Coturnix japonica: one gene and its partner. Each later gene encodes a partner of the first gene's protein in a complex. Links are inferred from orthologs where the notes say so. Each region holds a gene or a part of one and is shown on either strand. Other genes may lie near its edges.

Region 1 (3,143 bases):
GAGAAGGCTGAGAGCCCCGAGGGCTGTTCACCTGCAGAGGCTGAGAGGGGATCCAGTCAATGCTTATCACCATGGGGGAGCCCCAGAGGTCCCTTCCAACCCCTGTGGTTCTATCACTCTCCTGATCTATGCCCCTTTATCCCCTTGCAGGACCGCCTGAGCCGCTGCACGCTGCACTGCTCTGACAGAGCCAAGGATGCCCTGGAGGCGGGCGGTGGGGAGACAAGGGCACGCTCCCAGCTCGACGCCTGCGTTGCTGCCTGTGGGGACGAGCACCTACGCCTGGTGCCAGGCATGGCCAAGAGGATGCGGGATGGCTTGGCGGCCCTACAGCACTAGCGGGTGCTGTTGGGGTGGGGGAAGGTGGTATTAAAGGCAAGGAGCTGCACTCGTGGTGCTCGAGGGGTGCTGGGGGTTTGGGGTGTGGGGGTGCAAGGTGTGGGGTGGTGGCTGTGTAATGTATGGGGTGGGTGTGTGCAAAGTATGGGGTGATGGCTGTGCAGTGTATAGGGGGTGGGATGAGCCATGCAAATGTGCAGTGTATAGATAGGGTACAGGTGTGCAAAGTGTGGGGTGATGGCTGCGTAAGGTGTGTGCAGGTGTGCAAGGTGTGGGGTAGTGCTTCTGCAGGGTGTGGGGCACTGTGTGCAAAGGGTGCTGGTGTGTAAAGGGTGCAGTGTGCAAAGGGTGCAGTGTGCAAAGGGTGCAGTGTGCAAATGTTGCAGGGTGTGCAAAGGGTGCAGGTGTGCAAAGGGTGCAGGTGTGCAAAGGTGCAGTGTGCAAAGGGTGCAGGTGTGCAAAGGGTGCAGGTGTGCAAATGGTGCAGGGTGTGCAAAGGGTGCAGGGTGTGCAAAGGGTGCAGGGTGTGCAAAGGTGCAGTGTGCAAAGGTGCAGTGTGCAAAGGGTGCAGTGTGCAAATGGTGCAGGGTGTGCAAATGGTGCAGGGTGTGCAAAGGGTGCAGGGTGTGCAAAGGGTGCAGTGTGCAAAGGGTGCACACTGCCAGCTGTGAGCCGATGGCTGTGCAAGGTGTGCACGGTGAGCCGTGCAGGGCTTGCAATACGTGTATCAGTGCCTTTGTGTGTGTGCAATGCCGTGCATACAGTGGGTGTGCAATGCGCGGTGCATGCAATGCAGCAGAGCTGCAGGTCTCCATGCACGTGCTGCATGGGGGCCGCTCCAAACGCGCACGCGCGCCGCGTCCGAGCGCTCTGATTGGCTGCCGGCGAGATGCGAAGGTTGGCGGGAAAAGGGGGCGGGGCTTTGGGCGTAGCGTGCGACGTGATGACGTCATTACGCGGCGCGAGCGGCAGCGGCGCTGAGGAGACGCCATGAGCAAAGCGCACCCACCCGAGCTGAAGAAGTGAGAGCTGGGCCAACATGGGGATGAGGGGGGATGAGGGGGGATAAGGGAGGACTGAAGGGGATGAGGGGGGCCCAGAGGGTCGGGAGGGGCCGTGGGGTCCGGTTCGGGTTCGGTCTGGGTCCGGTTGGGCCCGCAATGATGGCGGTCCCGACCCCACACTGATGCGGCCTGCTCTGTTTGCGCTCTCGTTGCAGGTTCATGGACAAGAAGCTGTCGTGTGAGTCCCGCTGTTATAACGGGGTTGTGCCATGAGCCCACATTCACAAAGCCCCCCCCCCCCCCCCATCCCTCCCTTCCCTTTTAACCCCCCCCTCCCCTTGTTTCTGAATGAGCCGGTTTCTCGTAGTGAAGTTAAATGGCGGCCGCCACGTGCAGGGGATCCTACGGGGCTTCGACCCCTTCATGAACCTGGTGATCGATGAGTGCGTGGAGATGGCGCCTGGAGGGCAGCAGAACAACATCGGGATGGTGGTGAGTGCTGGGGGGGATGGCAGCCCCCAGGCCCACTTTGTGCCTTGGGCTGGGGGCTTTGGGCTTTGGGCTTTGGGCTGGGGGCTTCCTTTCAGTTCAGGCCTCCCAGTGCCCATCCGTGGCCTTGGGCACCTCTAGGAATGGGGAACAGCCTCAGGAGGGCAGAGCAGGATGGGACAGAGCCCTCCGTGTCTGCTGCAGTAACAGAGGGGTGGCAGCCCAGCTGGCTGTGAGGTCACAAGAATACATTGCTGTCTTATATCAAGCTCTCATCCACCTTTTCTATCAACCACCCTCCTGCAGGAGCCTTTTCCAGCCGGCTGACTGCTGCCATGAGCCCCTGCAGTTCTCTCATTCACTTCAGCTCTTGGAGCTGCACATGCCATGCAGCTTTCTAGGAGGAAAAGTCAAAGGGAAAGAAAACCTTCTGTGCTGTGGGCATAACGTGCTTCATCTCACCTCCTGCTGACAACTTCTCTTTGTAGGTAATACGAGGAAACAGCATCATTATGCTGGAAGCTTTGGAACGAGTATAGTGGCAGAGGAACCCTGTAGTGACCCGACCCCGTTGTGTTTTGTTTACTCACCTGAACCTAATGAAGCAACCACAAGTGTAAGCTTATTTTTTGTTAAATAAATTTTGTACTGGTTGGTGTAACCCGTGTGAGCTGTGCTTGGTGGAACTGAAGCCTGGGGCAGTTAATCTTGTGAGTGCAGCAGTGTGTCAGTGGCAGCTTTAAAGCTGGAGGATGGCTTTCAGGCAGCTTTATTTCTTTGAGTGGGTGTTCAAATGATACTGGCTATATCTTTAAACCCCCCCCCATAAATAACAGGCTGTGGCACTTCTATTCCTAGCATTGCTCTGTAAAGAGTGAAGGGGACTGAAATATCTGTCCTGCTCAAGTGTTTGCCTGCAACTTTGTGCTGGTCTCCACCTCTGTGCTGAGGCAAAAGTGGTTTTGGTTATTCTCATTGCCCCCAAGCAGACAGAACAAAGCATTGACCCCAGGGTACCAGCAAGCTTCTAAGAGTTGAATCGTGTTCCAGCACGTACGGACTCCTGTGATGCTGCTAATCTCAGTGCAAGTCCTGCAATTTAGCTTTAATCAAGTGCATTCATCTTTTCTAGCACAGCAAGAGTGAGGCTACACTAGTGGAGGCTTGTTAGTGGGAGTTTGAGCTAAGCAAGCACAACTTGCTGGTACAGGAGAACTCTGCTGATGGAGAACCGAGCAGCAGCTCTGAGACACAGCACAATGCAGGTAACACAGACAACAGTTCAAGGCAGCACCTGCTTACATTCAAACC
Region 2 (3,547 bases), on another chromosome or scaffold:
AGTTTAATTCATTAGCTGCTACATCATCTATCTAATACTTGTCAAAACTTGTTTTTTATTATTGAAGTCAAACATACCTAATTCTTCTCCTGTGTTATAGTCATATTTATAGAGTTTAAAATCTTCACCACCTGCAACCAAACATTCTTTCTCTGGGTGAAGGGATGCAGAATTGATTGTAGCAGGTGCTTCAAATGATTTAATCTGCTCTAGACTGAGGGAGGAGAAAGAACAGGTATTTTAAAGCAGGTCCTGAAAGCAAAGGAACTGTGATTCTACAATTCATAGTTGCTTTTAAGAAAGACAGAAGACACCCACATGCAGTTTCTGAAACAAATTTTTAACACTGGCAAGTCAAGCTCATAAAGTTTTGAAACAACAAGTTCAGAACAAGCAAAGCACACAGATAAGTTCACATATTTCATACTACTTTCTGGCACATATTTATGACTGCAACTTGCTTTAAAACATCATAGAAACTGTATGAATTAGTTCTCTTAAAGCACTAAATTGAACTCTGGATGAGAATCTTATTTAATGACAACTCCAGTTAGCTTTGAACCATGAAAATGGTACTGATCCATTACAATCTACCATCTTGCAGACAATCGGGGACCACTAGGTTAGAAAAGGATAGTTGTTTCAGACCTTGTCTCTGACAACATGGTAGGCAAAGATATCTACTGACATGGGTTCTAACAGCTTCATGATCGTGGCCTTGTATTGTCAGTTTTACTCACAATCAAACCCGTAACTCAAAAAGATTCTGTGTTTTAGACTCACGTTTCTGCACTATGAAAAGCAATAGTTTTCCCATAGGTTATCACAAGTATTTGCCCTTCTGGAACATACTCCATGCTGCTCACAGACATTGCAACATTTAGCGCCTTCACTTCGGTCATGGTACTCCTGTCCCAGAGGCTTAAGAAAAATCAGAAAGAAGAAAGATTCTCAGATCAATTCAACACACCAGTTTCCACCTCCACCCATGGCATGCTGTGGTTGCAAAAAACCCCCAATAAAGAATATTCTACAGACACTTTAGATTTTCAGCAGCATTCTTTGCTTTGCTTAGCTTTACTTACATGAGAATTAAGACAAGTTTGCATTAAAATACTGCTACTTTTAAAACGTATCAACTACATTAAACAGTACACATACTGCTTAACTACTCAAGGATTCTCTTAAAAGACAAAAAGCTTTATTACATGTCTCCTGAGCATTACAGCTTTCTAGAAGCAAAGCTTAAGATTGCATTCTGCCTTTTTAACACAAAACATATATATATAATACTAATTTAAGAAACTAATAGACTCGTTTAATATAATTTAGCATTTTGCCTAGGCAGGCAAGGAATATCTAAGCTAAAATCAAATTAAATTATAACAAACTGTCCCACGCAACATCCTGGTCACCATAATGGAGAAAATGGATTTGAGGGATAGACCACTCAGTGGATTAGGAATTGGCTGGACAGTTGCACTCAAGAGTTGCAGTTAACAGCTCAGCATCCAACCAGTGACGAGTAGCATTCCTCAGGGACTGGTACTATTTAATATCTTTATAGATTATATGGACAGTAGGATTGAGTGCAGCAAATGTGCAGATGACACCAAGCTGAGGTACAGCTGACACACTAGAGAGAAGGGATGCATCTCAAGCCAGACAGGCTTGAGAGGTGAGCTCACACTAACCTCACAAAGTTCAAAAAGGACAAGTGCAAAGTCCTGCACTGGGGTTGAAGCAATCTTAAGCACAGACACAGGTTGAGCAGATTTTAGCCTGAGAACAGACCTGAGGAGATGGATTTGGGAGTGTAATTTGATGAAACTCAACACAAGAGAAGTGTGACCAGCAGGTCGAGGGAGGTGATCCTGCCCCTCTAAACTACCTGCATGAGACCTCACCTGGAGGTACTGTGGCCAGTTTTGAGACACCCAGCATAAGAATATCAAGCTGTTGGAGTGGGACCAGAGGAAGGCCACCAAGATGATGAGAGGGCTAGAGCACTTCCCCTACGGGAACATGCTGAGAGAGCTGGGGCTATTCAGCCTGGAGAATAGAATGCTCTACAGGAACTTTACAGCAACATTCCAGTACCTGAAAGGGCCAACAGGAAAGCTGGAGGGGGACATTTTAGAAGGGCACATAGGAACATGGCAAGTGTAAATGGTTTTAAACTGGAAGAGAGTAGATTTAGACTAAACATTAGGAAGAAATTCTTTGGTTTGAGGGTAGACACTGGAACTGGTTGCCTAGTGAGGTTGTGGATGCTTCCACTCTGGAGGCATTCAAAGCCAGGCTGAAAGGGGCTGGGAGCAACCTGGTGTAGAGGGAGGTGTCCCTGACTATAGCAGGAGGGTTGGAACTAGATGTTCTTAACGGTCCCCTCCAGCCCAAACCATTCTATAAATTATGAGTTTCTTATTTCATTAAATAACTCAATGCTGTTATTTCAATTTCTAAAATTCAGAGAAAAAATAAAAGACCAGTCTCTTGACTATCTTGAATGAAGGAACTGAAAAAGAATTGGAGCCAAAACAGAAACAAGGAGACTGCAACTGTGATTTCACTCTATATCTACTGCCCTTCCACAAAGCAGAAAGCCACTATTACTCTATGCCATAAATATAAGAATAACGAGACAAGTAGACATGAGATGATGCTGATCACATCAACCAGAAAGTTGTGGAAGCAGCAAGGCACATCTTCCTTCTTTTTTGGCCAGCATAGATTGAGGAAGGATCTTTATCATTTCATCTCCCTAGCAGCCAAGTCTGTCTAGGCTTTAGCCCATCTACATTTAAGGGGATGATCTATCTTACAAAACCAGAAAAGCTTTCTCAACTTACCACATGGAAGAGAAAGACAGTTATGATTATTAAGAAGGCACTGTCTCCAGAGAGGCTTCCCTGCCTTTTATCCCAACCCTCGCCCAATGCATGTTTCAAGGCTTGACTGCAGAAGACAAGGCAGAGACACTTCAGCATGTCTTCACAAGACCTCACCTAGAATTTAATTTCCTCTAGGATTAGAAAAATCAAATTAATTCTACTATTCGGTTATCAGAGACCACCTCTTCCTATCAGGGAGGACACGTTTATGGTGCAAATCAGAATTAACAGAAAAATTATATCTTCAACAACATGAAAAACTGGATTACATGTGCATATTCTAATCTAGAATCAAACAGCCTTTATTACTATTTCCCAAGGAAATAACAATCCTCTGACAGAAACTGTACACAATAAGTAAAAGTGAGCTTCAGAGAAAACTACTAGAAGTTTGGTTTTTTTTTCCTTACCGGACAGTTTTATCATCAGCTGAAAGAATCTGTTTGTCATCACTGCTCCATAAAGCCTTTTTAATACCAGAAGTATGCCCACTGACAACATCAGGTTCTTGAAATAAGAACAAGTATTTCAGTACACATAAGAATATAAATTAACACTGTGCAGTAGTTTAGGAACTCTGGTCATCTACATGGATTTCTATTTACTAGAAGCTGCAAAATTACTTCAAACACTACTGACTTTTATTTACAGAT

The links. The genes of interacting proteins can lie anywhere in the genome.
Region 2: SNRPG (region 1) and STRAP share a complex: the UniProt entries of both Homo sapiens proteins name them as parts of the SMN-Sm complex. The link is inferred for Coturnix japonica from reciprocal best matches to the Homo sapiens genes SNRPG and STRAP.

What each region holds. Positions count from the first base shown.
Region 1 is NC_029537.1:791,581-794,723, forward strand, and holds SNRPG (small nuclear ribonucleoprotein G), read left to right. Parts: upstream 1-1,242; 5' UTR 1,243-1,329; coding exon 1,330-1,361; intron 1,362-1,558; coding exon 1,559-1,581; intron 1,582-1,710; coding exon 1,711-1,835; intron 1,836-2,320; coding exon 2,321-2,371; 3' UTR 2,372-2,493; downstream 2,494-3,143. Other genes in the region: protein FAM136A, read left to right, coding at 151-339. UniProt on the Homo sapiens protein: Plays a role in pre-mRNA splicing as a core component of the spliceosomal U1, U2, U4 and U5 small nuclear ribonucleoproteins (snRNPs), the building blocks of the spliceosome.
Region 2 is NC_029516.1:57,770,098-57,773,644, reverse strand, and holds part of STRAP (serine-threonine kinase receptor-associated protein), read right to left. Parts: intron 3,402-3,547; coding exon 3,305-3,401; intron 922-3,304; coding exon 784-921; intron 215-783; coding exon 78-214; intron 1-77. UniProt on the Homo sapiens protein: The SMN complex catalyzes the assembly of small nuclear ribonucleoproteins (snRNPs), the building blocks of the spliceosome, and thereby plays an important role in the splicing of cellular pre-mRNAs.